5 linked regions of the Sus scrofa genome follow. The protein of the gene in region 1 purifies or fractionates together with the protein of each later gene. This does not show direct contact. Links are inferred from orthologs where the notes say so. Each region holds a gene or a part of one and is shown in the gene's direction. Other genes may lie near its edges.

Evidence for each region.
Region 2: the proteins of MAPK8IP1 (region 1) and AKT1 purify together in Homo sapiens (affinity purification with western blotting; 3 studies listed by BioGRID). This does not show direct contact. The link is inferred for Sus scrofa from reciprocal best matches to the Homo sapiens genes MAPK8IP1 and AKT1.
Region 3: the proteins of MAPK8IP1 (region 1) and MAPK9 purify together in Homo sapiens (affinity purification with western blotting; 4 studies listed by BioGRID and IntAct, counting the BioPlex papers as one, with this or other methods). This does not show direct contact. The link is inferred for Sus scrofa from reciprocal best matches to the Homo sapiens genes MAPK8IP1 and MAPK9.
Region 4: the proteins of MAPK8IP1 (region 1) and MAP3K7 purify together in Homo sapiens (pull-down; 3 studies listed by BioGRID and IntAct, with this or other methods). This does not show direct contact. The link is inferred for Sus scrofa from reciprocal best matches to the Homo sapiens genes MAPK8IP1 and MAP3K7.
Region 5: the proteins of MAPK8IP1 (region 1) and MAP2K7 purify together in Homo sapiens (affinity purification with western blotting; 3 studies listed by BioGRID and IntAct, with this or other methods). This does not show direct contact. The link is inferred for Sus scrofa from reciprocal best matches to the Homo sapiens genes MAPK8IP1 and MAP2K7.

The regions. Positions count from the first base shown.
Region 1 is NC_010444.4:16,571,110-16,575,246, reverse strand, and holds part of MAPK8IP1 (C-Jun-amino-terminal kinase-interacting protein 1), read left to right. Parts: intron 1-1,122; exon of another isoform or gene 1,123-1,426; coding exon of another isoform or gene 1,427-1,497; intron 1,498-2,681; coding exon 2,682-2,787; intron 2,788-4,137. UniProt on the Homo sapiens protein: The JNK-interacting protein (JIP) group of scaffold proteins selectively mediates JNK signaling by aggregating specific components of the MAPK cascade to form a functional JNK signaling module. Required for JNK activation in response to excitotoxic stress.
Region 2 is NW_018084979.1:3,039,455-3,042,939, reverse strand, and holds the end of AKT1 (RAC-alpha serine/threonine-protein kinase), read left to right. Parts: intron 1-129; coding exon 130-217; intron 218-1,542; coding exon 1,543-1,645; intron 1,646-1,866; coding exon 1,867-1,946; 3' UTR 1,947-2,663; downstream 2,664-3,485. UniProt on the Homo sapiens protein: AKT1 is one of 3 closely related serine/threonine-protein kinases (AKT1, AKT2 and AKT3) called the AKT kinase, and which regulate many processes including metabolism, proliferation, cell survival, growth and angiogenesis.
Region 3 is NC_010444.4:78,393,630-78,397,766, forward strand, and holds part of MAPK9 (mitogen-activated protein kinase 9), read left to right. Parts: intron 1-727; coding exon 728-799; intron 800-2,259; coding exon of another isoform or gene 2,260-2,264; coding exon 2,265-2,407; 3' UTR 2,408-4,137. UniProt on the Homo sapiens protein: Serine/threonine-protein kinase involved in various processes such as cell proliferation, differentiation, migration, transformation and programmed cell death.
Region 4 is NC_010443.5:58,484,076-58,488,878, reverse strand, and holds the end of MAP3K7 (mitogen-activated protein kinase kinase kinase 7), read left to right. Parts: intron 1-695; coding exon 696-757; intron 758-1,453; coding exon 1,454-1,569; intron 1,570-3,688; coding exon 3,689-3,869; downstream 3,870-4,803. UniProt on the Homo sapiens protein: Serine/threonine kinase which acts as an essential component of the MAP kinase signal transduction pathway. Plays an important role in the cascades of cellular responses evoked by changes in the environment.
Region 5 is NC_010444.4:71,298,383-71,302,338, reverse strand, and holds the end of MAP2K7 (dual specificity mitogen-activated protein kinase kinase 7), read left to right. Parts: intron 1-6; coding exon 7-126; intron 127-278; coding exon 279-386; intron 387-478; coding exon 479-841; intron 842-962; coding exon 963-1,105; intron 1,106-1,602; coding exon 1,603-1,648; intron 1,649-1,750; coding exon 1,751-1,885; 3' UTR 1,886-3,329; downstream 3,330-3,956. UniProt on the Homo sapiens protein: Dual specificity protein kinase which acts as an essential component of the MAP kinase signal transduction pathway. Essential component of the stress-activated protein kinase/c-Jun N-terminal kinase (SAP/JNK) signaling pathway.

The DNA.
Region 1 (4,137 bases):
TCCTGCCACGTGCTCCACCCAGACGCTGGGTTAGACTCTGGGGAGGTGGGTGCGAGAGACAGGCAGTCCCACACGGAGCTGCAGATCTTGAATGCCAGGCCGAGGAGTTGGCCGCTAGCAGGGAATCCTGGAGGGTTTTGAGTGGAGGACAGAAGAGCAGTGTTTCAGGCGGTGCAGGCCGGCTGGTGGGGAAGGCCAGGGACAGAAGATGCAGGAGCTTGACTGAGGATGGGCAGACACAGATCGGGCACCTCTGGGTCAGACATCCCCATGGTCCTGCAGCTGTCCGGTGCTGGCTGAGTGGCAGGGCTGCCCTCTCTGGGTCTGGCCAGGCGGCCAGTGTGCATTGACCATCTGCTTAGTGCCCACCTCTGGGTTCTCCTCCCAGGGCCAGAGATGCCACCCTGCACCAGCCGGACAGAGCAGGGCTGCCCTGGCTTCGGGCTGGGCTCCCTCCCCAGAGACCCCTGATTCCACACCATGCCCACCCCCAGCCCTGGGAAGCCACCATCCTCGGGCTCCAGGTCAGAAGGGGCCTGAAAGAGCACTTTGTCCATCCAGCCCCCTGGCGCTGGTCAGAATCCCACTGTGCCCCTTGCCATTCCCTCTAGGGGCCTCCCGGCTTATGTCGCCCCGCCCCGCAGTGGCAGGAGACTCCTTCCCTCCCTTCCCTCCAGGGCCCGCACACCCCTCGCCCTGGCCTGTGCCTCTAGGCACTTCCTGGGTGGGTGCTGAAGTCTGAAGCCCCAAGAAGGGGGCAGGGTTCTGGCTGCACTCAGGCAGGCAATAGAAGCAGCCCCGACCCACCCCAGGCAGCCCTGTGTGGACGCCGCCTGGGCCCACAGAAACCTCCCTGATGGGGTGTGGGGGCTGAGCGAGTAGCTGTGGAGATGGGGCATCCACTTCTGGAGAATTTCAGAACCCCCTCCCCCAGTCTGGCCACCGTGAACCCTAATTGTGGTGCTGGCCCTTTAAAGCAGATCAGGGGCTGGCTTTTGGGGGGAAATATCCCAGATTTCTGCCATCTGCTTAGAAGCCTGGACCAGGGAGGGGGGCCACCCCATCCCCCGACAGGGGCATTGGAAGGGCAGGTGGAGCCGGTAGCATCGATTGCAGTAACCTGATCCCGCGGGGGAGGCGACAACGGCAGCGGCAGCGCAAAGGCCGGGGGAGGAAGCTGCCTGCAGCTGAAGGCTGGCTGGGAAGAGCTGGGGCCAGGCCGGTCCGCAACCGCTGCCTCTTCCCCCAGCCCATCTATTTTTAATGAGCTCCCCGGGCGTCTGCAGCGGGCAGGACGCAGAAAGGCAGGCCCAGGCTGTGGAGGCCCGAGGCCCCAGCCCTGCCCCGAGCCCTGGCCCCCCCACCCTTCTGGGCATGAGAGGGCGGCCCCGGGGCTCTGCAGCCCCCGGGCCGGGCAGGGCTCTCCATGCAGCTGGTGCTGAAGATGGATTCGAGCCCAGACAATGACAGCTGGTTGGAGGATCAGTGGGAGCGCTGGTAGGGGTGCGGGGACCGGTGGGGGAGGGGGGAGCTCCACTGAGCTCTGGGTCTCTGTTGGTCGGGTTGAGGCAAGAGGCCGGGGTGTGGGCCTCCGAGGTTCCCCTGGGGCTGAGCCCGTGACCTTTCCTAAGTGACCTTGGACCGGGGGGTCTCCCTTGCTGTGTGCCTCAATCGCCTCGTCTTATTGAGGAAAAGACTCAATTCTCCCCAACTTCCTTAGCAGAATTCTCCCAGTGTCCCTCCCACATTGAAGCCTGCAGAGTGTCTGGGGCTGGGGGGCTGGAGAGGTGAGGGGACCCGCAGGGAGCTCAGTGGCTGGGACAGCCCCGCCCTGGGGGGCTTTTAGGGCGGGCCGGTGGGTGGGGGTGGGGTGGGGGGGTGGGGAGAGGGTCCCAGGACACCCAGTTAGAGATTCGATGCTGAAGCGCTGAAGCGCTTGGGTCTGCCTCTGAGCCCAGGCCACCTCCACCTTCCCTGACCCCCGCTGTTCAGGGCCCAGAGGCTGGGGCAGGAGGATTGGGGGTGTGCGCTGATGGGACCAAGAACAGAATGGGGCACGGTCTTTCCTAGAACAGCTAAAACCACCCACATTGACCCCTGCATTCCCGTGCCTCGCTCCCAGGGCTTATGAGGCATGGGACTTCCTGGGCTGGGGACATGGAGTGCTGCTCCAAGGTGGAGCAGGGCCTCTGCCAGTACCTCAGGTTTGGTCACGGCACAGATTGTACAGGGAACCCCCACTCCAGGCATCCTTTGGAGACTCTTCTCATCTCTCTCTGTCCCCTCTGTGGCTGAACTGGCCTTGGCACCTGCCTTGACCCTGGAAGCCATTTCTCTGGCAGAGCCTCAGCTCTGACCAGCTGGGCCTTCTAGGCAGGGCCTCCTGCTTGGCAGCAGGGTGGACATCTCCCAGCCCAGAGGAGCTGGAATAACCCGGGGCCTCCCTTTCCACTGCCCCCCCCCCCCGGAGGCCTGCCTTTTGACTCGAGCCCCAAACTCTTTCCCTTTCTGTTCAGTACCCCTTGCACTGGTGCAGGGGGAGCCCAGGTCCCATCCTCTGGGGGCTGCGATCTGCCTTCGAGGGGCTGTCCCTTGGAAGAGCTATTAGGGAGACATCAGAAGGCCTCAGTCCGCTGACAACAGTCCCTTGAGTGGTAACTCTGGCTTTCTGTCCCCATCAGGCTCACCCATGACATCAGCCTGGAGGAGTTTGAAGATGAAGACCTTTCCGAGATCACTGATGAGTGTGGCATCAGCCTGCAGTGCAAAGACACCCTGTCCTTACGGGTAAGGGCGGGCTCTCAGGAGCCCCTGAGTGGGGTGGCAGAATGGGTAGGGACAGGAGTGAGAGCGCTTCTATATCTAGAGGGGCTTTCCGCGTCTGCGTGGCATTCTCATTAAATGAAATAACATGCAGGAAACATGCAGTGTGATGCTTGGCTCCTATCTTGATGGCTCAGATTTTTTAAATTATTTATATATTTTGCCAAGGGCAAAGGCAGGAAGCAGCTCCTTCAACTGCCCAGAAGGAAGAGAGCAGGAAGTCTTGAGGTCTAGGACAGTAGCAGTTAGGGCCAGAATTAAGGGAAGGTTTGGGACTCCCCTAATTCCTTTCCAGAGCGGCCATGGCAGAAGTCCTGAGGCAGAGCAGGGTGGAGTCTGGCAGAACCTGCAGTGCTTTGGGGCAGGACAAAAGAGCCAAGGCACTCCCTTGGCCACCACTGCACCAAGCACACCCCACAGCCTCGCAGACCCTCTCTGGCCCACAAAGGAGGCCTCTGGAAGGTTAATCCAACATTGCTGCTGCTTTGGGCCCCATGCCTTTGTCACAGGACAGATGGCTCCCACTCCCAGAGTTCTGAATCCCACAGGAGGTGGGGATCCTGGGCTGGATGGGGATTCTCCCTTGTCTTTCCAGAACAGGAAGAAGGGGCTGCTAGCCAGGAGAGGGAAGGCAAGCACAAGTCTAGGTTGCAGAGCCCAGAGCTTCTCTCAGCTCCTGGGAGGGTGGGTGGCCCTAGTAGACACGGTGTTGGGGGAATGGTTAGCAAAGGAGAGCTGCAGTGAGTTGGGTGGGGTGCCTGTGTTGACCTTTTCTTGCCCCCAGAGATTCTGCAAGCTCTGCCAGGCCAAAGGAAACCAAAGGGTGAGGCTAACCCTCCAGTACCCTGTACCCCAACCCACCACCCTCTGGCTAGGCCAGGCAGGGATGGAGAGAGAGGCTTTTTTTTTTTTTTTTTTTTTTTTTGCTTTTCAGGGCCGCACCCGTGGCATGTGGCGGTTCCCAGGCTAGGGGTCAGCCTTCGCCAGAGCCACATGCGGGATCTGAGCCACGTCTGCGACTTACGCCACAGCTCACAGCAACGCTGGATCCTTAACCCACTGAGTGAGGCCAGGGATCAAACCAGCCACCTCATCGTTACTAGTCGGATTCGTTTACCGCTGTGCCACAACAGGAACTCCAAGGCCATTTATTGTGGACCAGCATAGCTTCTCTAAGGTCATACACCTGTTGGGGACTCCCACACTGTGCTCTCCCCAGACTTACACAAGCTGAGCCTTGAAGAGGGAGAGGGTGGTCCTTGCAACCCGCAGGACCCTGAGGCAGTACCCTGTGGGGCCTTAGACAAGCTCCAG
Region 2 (3,485 bases), on another chromosome or scaffold:
CCGCGGGCTCAGCCCCGGGGGCCCCAGGGAGGCTGCCTGTCCCCCGCTGCCCGAGACCTCGTGGGGGAAGGGCCGAGCTCTGGGCCGGGCAGGAGGCAGCCCCCGTCACCATGGCCTCGTCTCCCCCAGGCTCGGCGGGGGCTCTGAGGATGCCAAGGAGATCATGCAGCACCGTTTCTTCGCCAGCATCGTGTGGCAGGATGTGTATGAGAAGAAGGTGCGTGGGGGCCTGTGGGCCGGCCCCCCCCAGCCACACCCTTACTCAGGCTCTCACCTCCACCCCCACACGGTGGCACACCTGCACACACACGCTTACACGCACATCCACTCACACACCTGCTCCCACCCCCACCCCTGCTGGCACACCTGGTCTCACACACCCTACACCTGCACACACACAGGCTCACACCTGCTCACACACCTGCACACACACACCTGCTCACCCACACGTGAGGAGGCCCCTGAGGAGCGAGGCAGCTTCTTCCTAAACATGTGCCTCTGCCCGTTGCCTCTGAGGGACTCGGGAGCCCCAGGCCCTGGCCCAGCAGGCTGGGGGCAGGAGGGGGATGTCCCCGGGCTCGTTGACGTCCTGTCACAAGCACACCTCGCCCCCATTTCCAGTCTCCCTCGCCTGCAGGCCACACGCAGCCGGCTGGGCCTCTAGCCCCTGAGAGATGGGTGCCCCACCCTGCTCAGCTCCAGGCCAGGGGCCTGCCCTCTGGGGGCTGCAGTGCCCACCCTGTTGGTCCCTGCTAGTTCCCAGGGCAGCCCCACCCCCAGGCCAGGGCCCTGGTGGGGGTGGGGTGGGGCGCTTGCTTCTCCCCCCAGCCTGGCCCCTTACACTTGGCCTCTCATTCCGCGTCGTTGGGAGTCCTGCCTGTGGCCACGCTCAGGGCCACTCTGCTACCCGGGAGCTGCGAGTGAGGCACCAGACTCCCTCCGGTGGACCCCTGAAGGACCAGGCCCCCCGAGGGGAAGCGGGCAGGGGAGGGCGGGGCCCCATCCACATCTCCTGGGCGGGGCTTGGGCATCGCATCCCCCTCCCTCCCCAGGGCACCTGGTGGGGTTGGCACAGGCCCTGGGCAGGGGGCAGTGGCCGGCTGCTCCGGGGCCCCCTCCCGGGTGGCAGTGGGCCCCCGAGCCCTGCCCTCCCCTTGTCTGGCATTAGCCTCTGCAGCCTGGGCCTGCCGGCGGTTTCTGAGACACCCGGAAAGGAAAATAGGAGCGCTGGAGAAAGAAAAGTGGCCAGGGCCCCTTCTGCCCCGGGGGTGGGGTCCTCGGAGCTGGGCTGCACTGCCTCCTATCACCTGCAGGGGCGCCGTGACACTGCTTGCGGGCTCTTGGTTGAGGGGCACCCACCTAGGCCCTAGGTGGGTCCCCTCCTGTGCAGGTCTCCTTCCAGAACTCTGCCTGTGGGTGGGGACGGCTGCCTGGACACCGTCCCCTGGGAGACAGGAGTCATTTCCCAAGCCAGGGGCACAGCTCCCTGGGGGCCGTGGTCCGGGCGGGTCCGGGTCTGTAACCCAGCCCCCCTTTCCGCAGCTCAGCCCACCGTTCAAGCCTCAGGTCACGTCCGAGACGGACACCAGGTATTTCGACGAGGAGTTCACGGCGCAGATGATCACCATCACGCCGCCCGACCAAGGTGAGGGCCGCGCCTTCCCCTCCGCTCCCCCGGGCGCGCGCGCGCACCATCCCTCGGCGCTGCCCTCGGTGGGAGGCCGGCCGTCCAGCGGCCCTCGGGAAGGCTGCCTTTGGGGGGTGGCGGCCGCGGCAGGAGGGCCTCGCGGGGCGAGGAGGCGAGCCTGCCGGGCGCTGGGGTCTCGCTGGTGCCCGGGCTCTGAGCCGCCCCGCGCGTGCCCGCAGACGACAGCATGGAGGGCGTGGACAGCGAGCGGAGGCCTCACTTCCCCCAGTTCTCCTACTCGGCCAGCGGCACGGCCTGAGGCGGCCAGCCGGGCGCGCTCTCCGGACGACGGCTTCGAAGGGAGGCGGGAAGCCGCGCTCGGACCTCCTGTATTTAATGGGTTTTGTTTCTGGACGCGTTTGGGCCGCACCGGGCTGCTCCTCCCACCAGGGATGCGCGGCTCGCGCTGTGGCGGCTGTGGCGGGGGCTGCCCGCCCGGCCCCGGGCCGCCTCCCCAGCCTCCAGCCGGGCCGGGAGGAAAACGCCCTGCAGTTTTTCCTAATTTATTCATCCGGTTCTCCAGGCGCGGCCACGCGCCGCGCGCTCTCGGGCCGGGTGGGCCTCGCCCGCGCTCCCGGCCGCACCGACTCGGCCCGGAAGCAAGCCGGGCCAGGAGCGCCGGCCGGGGCCTGGCCGGGGCTGGAGGCGGGCGGCCCCTGCGTGGGGCTGGGCCGGGCGAGATCCTGCTCTGTTCACGCGCGTCCTGGGGGCTTCATCTCAGAAGGAAGCCCCCCTCTGCCCCTGCCCGTTGGGACCATCCCATCCGATGGCTCCCCTGGTTAGCAATTGTCCTCATAGAAGCTTCACCCTCCCGCTGTCGCCGCGGCCCCGCCCCACGCCCTTTGCAGGGGCCATCGCTCCGCCCTCCGGCCAGACGCTACGCTGCACCACGGCGGTTTTTTATATTCAACTTTAGTATTTTTACTATTATGAGACTTTCCCTCCAAATTCCTCAATAAAACTTGCTTTTCAACTCCGTGGCTTGTTTAGTTAGGTGGCCGGCCCACTGGTGTGGAGGGCCCTGTCCCTCCTGCCTCGCGGTCCCGAGGGCAGCCTACGAGGATAGGTGTCCCCCACGCAGCTCTGGCAGGACTCGGTGGCTTCGCCCCAGTCCCACGCCCCGAGAAGGCCACCCAGACTGCACGGCCACCTGCGCACCAGCCCTGTCCATCCAGCAGATCCTGGTCACGGGGAAGGACCGGGACCCTGAAGGGCCCAGAGCTGGCCAAGGTCGAGACAGGGCCACCGCCAGGCCCTGGGACCTGAGGAGGTGCGAAAAAGCAACCTGCGGGGGGGAAGGCGTTACCCAGGTGCCCCGCCCTAGGACCCGCGCCGAGTCTGGCGGCACGGGAGGGCAGGACGTGCCGCGGGCGCCACCTGGTGGGCGCGGAGAGGAACCAGCTGCCCAGCACGAGCCTGCTGCTCTTCCTGTCCCTGGTGGACTCAACCTCGCAGGTGTGGCCAGGACGCGGGGACCGTCACAGGGCACGACGTTTGCCGGACCTGGCGCCCGGGCCTGGGGGAGGGGGCAGAGCTGCCTGTCTCCCCAGGCTCCGCGGCAGCTGATTCTGACCATAAGGCCTTGGGGTGGGGCGGCTGCAAGGAGCATGGGGCCGAGGGCATCCAGAGCAGCCTGGTTCTCCGCCGGGTGGTCCCTCACTACCTCCGTTTTGACAGGCTCCAGGACACAGCTTTTGGGGATACCCAAACCACAGCAAATGCTACCTACTAAACAAGACTTTGGACCCAGATTTCAGATAGAAAAAAATGCATCAAACTGGAAGCCTGTCCACGTCTG
Region 3 (4,137 bases), about 62 Mb from region 1:
TTGTGCAGACTTCTTGGTGGGAGGGGCTGGTACCTGCCCACTAGTGGGTGGAGTTGGGTCTTGGCCCTTAGGTAGGCAGGGCCATGTCAAGGGGTGTGTCTAGAGGTGGCTGTGAGCTCAGAAAGTCTTTAGGTAGTGTGTCTGCTGATGGGTGGGGCTGTGTTCCTGCCTCATTGACTGGCCTGAGGTGTCCTAGCACTGGAGCCTACAGACCATTGCGTGGGGCCAGGTCTTGGTGCTAATGACCCAAGCAGGATGTCAACCTTCAGTTGGAATACTCCCGGATATTTTTGCCACCGGCTTCCACATCCCAGGAAAGAGCCACAGCCGTCCTTGAAGGGGTTACGTTTGGAGAACCACAAGTAATGATGGAGAAAAACATGTGCAGACAGGTGTGAGAACATCTGATACTCTAAACTGTCCTGTTTGAGCCACTTTGCTCATACTTTCCCTCCCTCTCTTTTCTCCCCTGTCCCCAGCCCCCACGCTTGCTTCTCTTTGTAAACCCCCCTTGTGGATCCAGAACCACCCTACATTTTGGCTTAACAGTTGGTTGAAAAGATGTAATGGATCAAATATCAATGTTTTAGTCTAGGTAAACTATATTACTAAATTACTTGTCTAATACATCGCGGTGCCCTTGGAGTGGTTCTGTGTGATTTGGAAGCAGGATTTAGAGATGCAAGGAAACTGGTGAAGCTGTTTTAACTTGCATTTCTATTTTAAGAGCTAATTTACAAAGAAGTAATGGATTGGGAAGAAAGAAACAAGAATGGTGTTGTAAAAGATCAACCTTCAGGTTAGTGATTGCTTTAATAGTTTGATTGTATATTATTTTTCTTTCCCTATTTAGTTTTTATAAGAAGCAGTGTGTTAAGTGCCAGCTTGACCAATATTGGGTTTGAAAATTTTTTCTGTGAAATAGTCTTCCCCTTTTTGGTTTGTCCCAGTGATGGCAGTGAATATTTTACTGATGGGCCAGGCAGTGAACTGTGTTAAGAACATGCTTGTTCATCTTTGTAACACTGTTGTCAGTTTTGTTTATAAGGAAATTGAATTTAAACCCTCTTTGGAGGGTGGGGGCATGCCCATGACATGTGGAAGTTCCCAGGCCAAGGATCAAACCCACACCACAGCAGCAGCCTGAGCCGCTTCAGTGACAACACCAGATCCTTAACCCATTGCACCACAAGGGAGCTTCTTAAAGCTTTTTCAATGTGTATGACCCTCTTTGTACTGGTCCTAACCAGTTAAAAAGAATATCAACGTGAATCTAGATAAAATGGAATTTACTTTTCTTTCGAGAAGATCGTTCATATAATTCTCCCATCTTTCTACTTGATCTACTTAGTGGTAGAATTCTAACCGTTAGATAATTGTGTGATTACTAGAGACATAATATATGTGGTGTTAACTTGTGTCTTGTAGAGTTTGACCTTAAACAAAACTCTTTATATTTATTTTATTATTCCACTCCTACCGGGAAATGTGCGCACACATAGACACACATAAATACAAATTGCACTTCTTATTCATGACATGTGTGTCGAGTGTCTAGAGAGTATATGAATATAATGTGAATTTAGGTGCTTTTTGTTAACAAAGCACAAATTTAAGACTGACCTCTGAGAGTCTGGATGTTTTATTTTTGCTAAAACCAGACTAAAATATAGATAGTAAGAAATGGGATGGTTTCATTTGCCTTTGGGAATTTAAAAAGCAAAAATAAAATGAACAGTGTTCTTTATAATTTTTTTCCTTTTTTTGTTTGTATGCAGTTCTTATTTTGGAAGGTATTTTTATTGTAAAAGAATTCTGCAAAGGTTGATACTTTTTTCCTTGGACTGTTTATGATTATAATTGAAATGTCTGATGACACTTGAATCCTATTTGGGATTAAACTTTTTGAGATTTTTTTTTTAGTTTTAGGATAAATTCAGCAGTTTTTTAAAAAATATCTTTTTAAAACCAGCAGATATTTTCTAAGCAGTTAACATGATTATACACAAGTACATATATGATGACTAGCCATTGGGAAGAAAAGAAATGTTGCAAGGGAAGACAGGAATATTTGGGATTTTGAGCCTAAAGAAAGACTCCAGGAAAGGTTCAAAATGTACAGTCAACTAATTTCTTGTTTATACTAATAGTTAGTACAGGAAGCTACAAAAGGAAAAAGCTGAGAAATGGCCTGAAGTCTCACTGCCTGGATTTGCAACAATGTCGTGCCTCAGATTTTATTATATTTGGTTTTCTTAGCACAGATGCAGCAGTAAGTAGCAACGCCACTCCTTCTCAGTCGTCATCTATCAATGACATTTCATCCATGTCCACTGAGCAGACCCTGGCCTCAGACACAGACAGCAGTCTGGATGCCTCAACGGGACCCCTTGAAGGTTGTCGATGATAAGTTAGAAATAGCAAGCTTGTCATCAGTGAAGGAACTCTTGCTTCCGTGGGCCTGAAATGCCTGGGAGTTGATGGAACCAAATAGAAAAACTCCATGTTCTGCATGTAAGAAACACGATGCCTTGCCCCTACTCAGTTGTACTAGGCTTGCCTTGCTTAGATTATAAAATGAAGCAGATTATGTCTGAAGAAAAAAAAAAGTGCAAACCACACTTCTAGAGATTTTGTTCAAGGTCATTTCAGGTGAGCAATTAGAATAGATTTTTTTTTTAAGTTGTATGGTAATAGTAGTGACAATTTCTCATCTTCAGTAATTGTTGGGACTTATATGCATGTGACCGCAAATGCCTGCTTGGACTTGCCCTCTAGCACTTTGAAAAACAGTATTTAAAAGCCAAATAATCTTCTAGGTAGTGCTGCTTCTAGAATTGTCTCTTAATCCTTTTAAGTAATTTGGTGTCTGTCCAGAAAAAATAGATTTATGTATATTAATTGGCTGCCATCATATTATTGTATCTTACCTTCCTTTAGGGTATGAGTTATTTTCTTTCATATTTCAGAAGGAATATAAGTAAATCTGTTAAATAAATTAAAAAATATAACTTTTCCTAAATTTGTCACATTTGGGCTGAGAATTACCACTGCTAAAACCAGGACACTTTGTTTTCTCTAAATTGTCTTAGTCTGGGTGACTGTACATTCAGCTTTACTGCATGATAAAGTTTTAAGTTTTGTTTTGTGCTGCTTAAAATATCATATACCTTTAATTCCTATGTACCCTATCTCTTTTTTCTTTGTCTTCTGAACTTCATATTTAATTTAAAATGCTATACTAGAACTTCGCCTTCTTTATTAGTCACCTAACACCCCATCTCAATATGATGGCATACACATTCTTGAACCCATCAACTGCTGGTAGAGAAAAATTTTACGAAGTGATCACTAAAGATGATTGCAGCCACTTACTAAGTGCATGCTTTGCCTGAGCCTGGACTGGGTCCTCTCTTACCTTCCATCGCTCAAGGTAAGATCCGTGATTTCACAAGGCAGAGTTTCCCTCTTCCAACACCGCATGCTTACTCGATTTTCTTTCTTTTCTGAAAGAAACCACACAAATCCCCCTTTGGTCTGTTTGAGGAAGCACGCCAATTCAGAATGCCTGTTTGTGGTTGTTTTCCACTTTATGGCGGCATTTCCTTTTCCTAAGGGAAATCCATGAATGTTCTGGGAAAACCCATCTGAAGGATATGGAGGAAATGCCCTAAAGAGTAATGATTAACTATTGAATATTTTCTGACTTAAAACTGCTCACCTGAAATTGATACTTTCAGACTTTCAATATGGAAACTATTCAAAACTCACTGAAATACTGAGTATTGAAGTGTCATTGCAGAAATGGAGTTACGATGGTCACATTTTGGCTACCTGTGCTCATAATGCTTTTCCCTTGAGCTCATTCTATTACAGATTCATATCTTGTGTTTAATTATTTTGGAAGCTATTGGGTCACCATTGTTCACATTCTATAGAATGTGTTCTGAGGAGGAACTTTGATAAGAAAGTTTATTATAAATATTATCTAAAATATATGATTCTCTGCATCAATTGTATCTTATTGATCGGTCTTATCACTGGAAACTGGAACCCTTGATGAACAAAATTAATATTGAAATAATAGATAGTTTTATATTGTGAGGTTTAGACACATTCAGCTATAAGATGAAAATA
Region 4 (4,803 bases), on another chromosome or scaffold:
GCAATTTTATTCTCTTTTGAAATATGAACAAAACCTAAATAGTTGGATAAAATTGGCGGGTTGTTTGAATTAACCCATTTAACTCTTTTGACATGAAATTGAGTCACAGATTCCGTATTATCCATGTGTGTCATATACTCCCATCAATAACATCTCTAATTTTCTTCAGTGATTCTTATTGGGAGGGGTGGGATGGGCGGCTCACATTTGAACCCACACTAATTGAAGATGATCCACTGAAACAAAATGTGTCTCTTGTTTTCACCCTTTCCCTTTTAGGGAACACTGGTGTTGCTGGAATCTACACAGCCTTAAGTAAACTTAATATGATCCAGGAAAGAAAGAGATGGGTTTGATTAGGTAGAGGCAGTTAAGACTGAATTTAAAATAGAAATATTTTAAAGGTCCCACATCACTGTTTGTTTTTAATTAAATAAGGCTTACATGCTTTAGTACATTATGTTCTAGTCCCATTTATAGCCGATGTAAATTGTAGGTATGAGAGTATGGTTGTATTCTAATTATTTGTATTTGAATGTCCTCTTTTTTTACCTTTTAAATTCAAAAATTACCAGTAACAATAACTTTTCTTTTACTTTGGGGAAAATAGTACCAGCACCTCATGCATGCTTTCTTGCTTTTCGTTTGTAACTATTTATGACAAAAAATAAATAAAATACATGCTGTAATTCCAGATACCAATGGATCAGATAATTCCATCCCAATGGCTTATCTTACACTGGATCACCAACTACAGGTAAAGGAGTACTTTCTTAGCGAAGTTTACTTTTTCCTTTTTAGAGAAGTTTACCTTTAAAGCTGATGGTTGTGTTCCTATCTGTCACTTTATATCCATTTATTTATGCTTTTAGTTGGCCTCTTTATTTTAAAATCAAGTTAAAATAAGTGATTCTTAGTTAAGTTAATCAAATTAAAATTGCCAAATCAGATGTTCCTATTCTAGCAATCATCTTAAAATATCCATATCTTTGTTCAGGACTGCCAAGAATAATGTTTTTGCTCCTTATTTTTAGCACATTATAATATAAAATTCATATAAGCTTATTTCTGCTTAATAGATTTTGTGGTAATTTGGCATGTTCATGGTGACTGAAAATATAAATAATATACTTCAGTGTCTCTCAAATGAGAGCTATAAACATCTTTCAGTATAATAAAGTTTGACAGTCTGAAACATAAAACCACAGTCCCAGAGTACTCTAGTTGTGGCTCTCCGTAACAATGAAAGTGTTAAAACAGCAAGTGTAAATTTAAGATCTGAGTTAATGCTGACAAAAGGACACAGATTTTCTAGGCCTACTTTAACACATATTTTTAAATGATCATTGCTTTAGTGCTATAAAAAAAAAAATCACAGTCTCTGTCTTAACTCTCAGCTAGATAATTGAGATTTGATCTAATTATGTTTTAACATTTCTTGATTTATTTTCAGCCTCTAGCACCATGCCCAAACTCCAAAGAATCTATGGCAGTGTTTGAACAGCATTGTAAAATGGCACAAGAATATATGAAAGTCCAAACAGAAATTGCATTATTATTACAGAGAAAGTAAGTTGTCTTTATGAATAAAAATAAAACATCAGTATTTGGAGTTTAAATTAAAGTGCATCATTGCTTAGGACATGAAAACTGTAAGTTTTAAGCACCCATTGGCTAATTGTTCATGCAAAAATTCAACTCTTTTGACTATATCTTATATTAGGAAAACATAACTAAGGAAAATAAACTGGTACTTATGACCATTGTTTGATGTTTTCAGCATTTTTAAGTTAAAAGCTGCTTAGATTTATTGTTTAGGAAGATTTATTGTTTTCTTAGACACAGATAAAACAATTTGATATATAATGTTCCGTTGTGATTTATCCTAGAAGCATTTTTGTAGATAATATATTCTTTCCAGGTGTATGTTGAAGAGAGTAGAATTACTTAACTAGTGGCTTTATTTCATACTTGTGAGTGTTTTTCTGGGAGATAGACTGCCTTCCTCCCCTTTTCAATGCAGTCCCATTTCCATACTTCTCTACTGAGATTCTTAAAAACAATATTTCAGTCTTTTTAAGCATGACCTTTATGAAATTTTATACCTATGAAGCTGATTTATGGTGGTACTTCCAAAGGGAACAAAAATAGTTTTTTCACAATTTACTAATAAAATGATTTTAGATAAATTTACCTTAATATTTTAAAGGTAAGGCTGATAGGAAATTAGAGACTGCAAACTGTAGTACTAATTATAGAACTGTCATTTTATATTAAGATTTTTTAAAAACTCTGTCATCACATATTTAATCTTTATTCTTTCACACTTTAAATCATTTGAGAGAAGAGTTTTATGCTGGAAAAAAAATGGTGTAATGGGGGCACTGTGAAAACTATGACAGTTTTAATTGATTTTAAATACTTTGGATAAGAAACATTACTAGTAAATTTTTATTTGAGGACTTTTCATTAATTATTCAGTTATATCCAGTGGTCTCACTTAATGAGCTGATATATAATATCCCCCAAACAAAGAAATTTATCAGGCTATAAAAGACTCTGAGGATCTTTCCTGAAAATATTTGCAAAAGTGAGTGTTTTAAGAGTGGTACTTTGTATTCTTCTCTTTTTTTTTGTCTTTTTGCCTTTTCTAGGGCCACTTCCTGTGGCATATGGAGGTTCCCAGGCTAGGTGTCTAATTGGAGCTGTAGCCACCGGCCTACACCAGAGCCACAGCAACGCGGGATCCGAGCTGTGTCTGTGACCTACACCACAGCTCATGGCAACGCCGGATCCTTAACCCACTGAGCAAGGCCAGGGATCGAACCCGCAACCTCATGGTTCCTAGTCGGATTCGTTGACCGCTGCACCACGACAGGAACTCCTCTTCTCATTATTTTAAAGTAGGAAAGAGATTTCAGTTGGATAGCACCTATTTTATTTATTTATTTATTTATTTTGTCTTTTTAGGGCCACACCCGAGGAATATGGAGGTTCCCAGGCTGGGGGTTGAATCAGAATTGTAGCCACGGGCCTATGCCACAGCCACAGCAACATGCCAGATCCAAGCCACATCTGCAACCTACACCACAGCTCATGGCAATGCCAGATCCTTGCTTGACCCGCTGAGCGAGGCCAGGGATTGAACCTGAAACCTCATGGTTCCTAGTTGGATTCATATCCGCTGCGCCATGATGGGAACTCCCGAGAGCATCTATTTTAATTAGCTTGCAGATGTTCTGTTAACTACTATTTGGCACTGTAGTTAAATAGGATTGTGACTTTGGAATATGAATACATGAGTATAGAAGTAGAATGTGCATGATAGAAACTTCAAGTGTTATATCCCTGTAGCCAGTTAAAGCCTTTCCCAGTCTTTTTTCTTCCCTCCTACACAAAAGGGATACCAAATGAAATTTTCTGCAACTTTTATTATACCATTTTATCCATTTTCAGTATTTACCTAAATACAGTTGCCTGTTAAAAGGATTATGATATTTGTATGGTTACAGCAGAAGAGTGGATGATAGTTTCCATTCCAGCTCATAATTATATTTGAGTAGTGTAACTAAGGTTCATAATGATAAACGCAGAATAAAAGCTCTAATTAATTGAAATTGAGATTCCATCATCAGTTATTAAGGTATGAATTTTTCCATCATGTGTAATATGCTGTATTTGTTTTTAGGCAAGAACTAGTTGCAGAACTGGACCAGGATGAAAAGGACCAGCAAAATACATCTCGGCTGGTACAGGAACACAAAAAGCTTTTAGATGAAAACAAAAGCCTTTCTACTTACTATCAGCAATGCAAAAAGCAACTAGAGGTCATCAGAAGTCAGCAGCAAAAAAGACAAGGCACTTCATGATTCTCTGGGACCGTTAAATTTTAAAATATGCAAAGAAAGACTCTTTTTTAAGGAAAGAAAGACCCTTATAATGACAATTCATGAGTGTTAGCTTTTTGGCGTGTTCTGAATGCCAGCTGCCTGTATTTGCTGCATTTGTTTCATCGTTTATTTTCCTTTTCTCATGGTGGACATGCAGTTCACCTGTCTCCTTGCATAACACGGGGGCATCTGTACTTGAATAAGCAGCAGTTCTCAACTTCACAACAGATGCAGTGAACCGTGGCTGTATACGCATGCTCGTTGTGTGAAGGCTAGCCTAACAGAAACAGGGGTATCAAACTAGCTGCTATGTGCAAACATCGTCTTTTTTTCCGAGGTGGAACCTCAAGAATGATTTTGTTCTTGTATCTCATCTCAAAAAAAAAAAAACAATATTTTTTTTTTCCAAAAGATGGCATATACCAAGTTAAAGACAGGGTATTATAAATCTAGAATAATTGGTGGTACATTATTGAAATACAGAACTTTAGTGATAGTTGGGAGTAAGGGCTTTGATGCCAGCATCCTTGGATCAGTAATGAACTTTATCCATAAAATATTTAAAGGTAAGTGGCGGCTGCTGTATTTAATAGAAGCATATTTCATTAGACTAAAATTTGACTATGATACATTGAACAAAATGGAACTTTTTTTTAAAATATAAAGATTTTTAATTCTGTGATTGCGTGTATGTGTGCTGAAACTGTAAAGTTTTTATGATTCTAATATTAATAGCCCTGAAATGAAATTAAAAGGTTAATGAACATGATCCAGCTTAAATGATCATTCCTTCCTGCGATGATTATTGGACTATTTTACTGTATATTTTAAAAACTAAAGAGAAATAATGGAAAATGGAAAGAATTGCTCCAGCTAAAAGGCTTAGGCTAAGATTTCTTTTACAATACCAAAT
Region 5 (3,956 bases), about 55 Mb from region 1:
GTGCAGCAAATGCGGCGCTCGGGGAACAAGGAGGAGAACAAGCGGATCCTCATGGACCTGGACGTGGTACTCAAGAGCCACGACTGCCCCTACATCGTGCAGTGCTTCGGGACCTTCATCACCAATGTGAGCAGGCCGCTCGCCCCATCAGGGGAGCCCTGGAAGCCTCCCGGGCTGGTCTCTGAGCTAGTCCATGTCCCCTCCCCCGCGACCTGAGCCCTAGGGTGGGGAGGAGGGTTCAGCTGCCCCCACCAAGCCACCGCCTGCTGCCCCCGCAGACGGACGTCTTCATCGCCATGGAGCTCATGGGCACGTGCGCTGAGAAGCTCAAGAAGCGGATGCAGGGCCCCATCCCTGAGCGGATCCTGGGCAAGATGACAGTGGCGGTGAGCGGCTGGCTGGGGTGCAGGCTGGCGGGCAGGTGGCCCCCAGGCCCGGTCCTGGCCATCATTGGTACCCTCCCCTGCCCACGCCGCAGATTGTCAAGGCGCTTTACTACCTGAAGGAGAAGCACGGTGTGATCCATCGCGATGTCAAGCCCTCCAACATCCTGCTGGATGAGCGGGGCCAGATCAAGCTCTGCGATTTCGGCATCAGTGGCCGCCTCGTCGACTCCAAGGCCAAAACGCGGAGCGCAGGCTGCGCAGCCTACATGGCAGTAAGTGGGGCCCAGCAGGGCCCGGTGGGCGGGTGTGAAGGGTGGGCGATGCACCTTCCCCAGCCATGGGTCCATCCACCCTCTCCCACCTCCCACCGGCAGCCCGAGCGCATCGACCCCCCGGACCCTACCAAGCCTGACTACGACATTCGGGCAGACGTGTGGAGCTTGGGCATCTCCTTGGTGAGTGGGGGCCTCTGCCTTTGGAGGCCAGGGCTAGGGTCTTCTTGGAGGTTGGACGCAGGCGGCAGGGATGGCAGAACCCTGTCCTCGGCCGGACCAACCCTGCCTATCTCTCTCTCAGGTGGAGCTGGCGACAGGACAGTTTCCCTACAAGAACTGCAAGACGGATTTTGAGGTTCTTACTAAGGTTCTGCAGGAAGAACCCCCACTCCTGCCCGGTCACATGGGCTTCTCGGGGGACTTTCAGTCCTTTGTCAAAGACTGGTGAGGAAGCAGGGCGAGGTCAGAGGTGGCCCTGTGCTCACTGCTGCTGGGCAGGGGAGGGGGGGCCCCGGATGGGGTTGGGGGCTGCAGGCAGGAGCTGGCGCCTGAGCCCTGGGAGCTGGGAGCTGGGTTTGGACTCAGCCTAAGTGGACACCGGGCCCTGTGGGTATGTGGCAGAGTGGCCTTTGCGCTCCACTGTGGGGGGCTATGAACAAGCAGAGGGTGCCCCAGGGTTCAGGGTCTGAGTGTCCTACACTGGTGAGCTGAACTGTGGGAGCAGGACATCCTTGTTGGAGCCTTCCTTGGGGGTGCCCAGCCGCTTCTCCTGCGGGGGTCTCAGTGCAGGCAGGAGCCTGTCACAGTCGGAGGGCCCGAGGGCAGACCCCAGGATCCTCTGTCAGCACAGGGCCTGGGGGCAGTGGCGGCTCCTTGCCACAGATCTTGCAGACCCAGACCCGACTCCCAACTCTCACTTCCTTTTCTCTCTCTCTTTCTAGCCTTACTAAAGATCACAGGAAGAGACCAAAGTATAATAAGCTACTTGTGAGTATCTGGGGCCCCTCTCAGCCCCCATCCTGAGCCCCTCACCCCACTGCCTGCCCAGCTGGACACCCTTGTCCTAAGCCCCCACCTTGGGCCCCACAGGAACACAGTTTCATCAGGCGCTACGAGGCGCTGGAGGTGGACGTGGCATCCTGGTTCAAGGATGTCATGGCGAAGACCGAGTCGCCTCGGACAAGCGGGGTCCTGAGCCAGCACCACCTGCCCTTCTTCAGGTAGCCACGTGGCGGTGGCCAGCCTGCCGGGGGCCAAGGGTGCGGCCACAGGCCCCCCTTCCCCACTGGGTTACCCAGCTGCCTGCCAGGGGAGCCCTGGGACCTGGACAGCCGCTGAGGGCTGAGGACAGAAAGTAGGGGGCGCCGACCCACCCCCGACTCCCTGCCCACCAGCCATGGACAGACGGGCCCGTCAGGCCCCAGCACTTCCCGTCCCGGGGTCAGCCGGCCGTGCGCGTCCCCCCCCCCCGCCCCCCGAACCCCGACAGACACTGTGAACGGAAGACAGCAGGCCGCGAGCAGACTCGCTATTTATTCAGTTGTAACCTCTGGGCTGGGGCGGCCCCAGGGGCCAGGAGAGAGCCGCCCGTCTGCACCCTCCAGCACTCACTGCGCTGTCCCCACTGCCGCCCCATGCACGTGCACCCCGGCCCCACCTTCCTCTCTGTCACCTCCCTCTACCTCTCTGGCTTTCCCCATCTCCCTCCCTGGCTCTGCTTCTCTCCTGGCCCAGGCCCGGGCTCTGCCACCCCTGGCAAGACCCTGGGTCCGCTTAGGTGTCTGGCAAGCAATGAGTCTGTTGGCTGGCGTTCCTGTGGACGCTGCGACTGCAGCCGGGCCCGGGCTGGTCTCTTTCTCTCTCTCTTTTTGATCTCAGGGGGTCCTTTTTGGAGTTTATTGTATTTTATTGTACTTGGTGGGGTGTTTGGGGGGTGGGGGGCGGAGAAGAGCTTGTTCTTAATGGGGTTTGTCGGTACCTTCAGAAACTTTTACCAAAGTCATGTTTAGCTGCTTGTGGTGGAAGCCCCCCCCAACCCCGACTGCCTGTCGGGGCTCGGGGGCTGGGGCTGGGGGCCGAGCCATGGGGGCCTGGGCCACCACCCAGGAGAGACTAGTCCCAAAGGTGGGCTCCGGGGGGGCTCCTCCCTTGGGGCTGGAGACTGGCCACAGCTTGGTGGGGTGAATCGAAGACCTCAGGGGTGGAGAGAGCCCAAAGGGCCTCGGCCACACAGGGTGGCCTTCAGGGAAGGCAGGCGCGGGGCGTGGTGGAGGGCAACAGGTGCTGGTGCGGCAGGGAGGCGGCACAGGGAATGGGTGACAGGAGTGGGGTCCGTGGGGCCCAGGGAGGCAGGGATTGAGGGTGCAGGGAGTGGATGTATGGGTTTGAGAATGTGTGACAGGGACAGAGGTGGGGCAGGCCGAGGGCTGGGCGTGTGGAGGTGGTCACGCCCTTGCAGTGGCCCTGAGCGCCCCTCGACTCACCCAGAGCTGGCCAGTCCCCAGCCCACCCTGAGGCCCCGGGCCCCAGCATCCCCGGGGTTCTGCGCAGCAGCCAGAGCGAGCGGGAGGGGGTGTGTTTCCTTTTTGTTGGTGATGCATGCAAATCAAGTGGACAACGAAACAAAATAGCAAAAAAAAAAAAAAAAAAAAAAAAAAACCATAAAAACCAACCAACGCCAAAGGTGAGGAACCTCGCTGGTTGTAGCTGAAGCAATCTAGACTAGGCATCACTGGACCCTCCATTTGTCCCATGACTCGAGTTACTACTAGGATAGTCACAAATGCCGCATGTTTAAAAAGTACTCGCAGTCATCTTCTCTCTGCCCCTGCGCCGCCCCCCCCCCCGGGGGGGGTGGCCACCTTCTCTCTCTCTCCAGTCCCTTTTGTGAGGGGAGGGGGCAGGGTGAGGGGCCAACAGGCCTGGCCCCTGCTCTCCCTTGCCAGGCCAGGCCCAGCCCCGGGGGCCTTTGTGGATGGCTGGGAAGGTCGCGTGGCTGGCCCCAGGGCCTGCGCAGGCCCAAGGCCAGCTGCCTGGGTTTATTTTTTATTTAACTTGATTTTCTGTTTTGTGTGTGTCCACCCGTCCCCCCGCCCCCACCCTTCAGTGTTAAGTGGGAGCCTCTCCCCACCTGCCTCTCCCATGTCCCACCCCTACCCCAAGTCACCAGTCACCAGCCATCCCTCTGGACCAGGCAGAGGGCAGAGCGGGCAGTAAGGGGCCTGGCGTGGCCTGGCCCAGCCCACAGGTCCATGACCCCTTCTCAGGCCACCAGTATTGCCCCCATTCCTTTTTA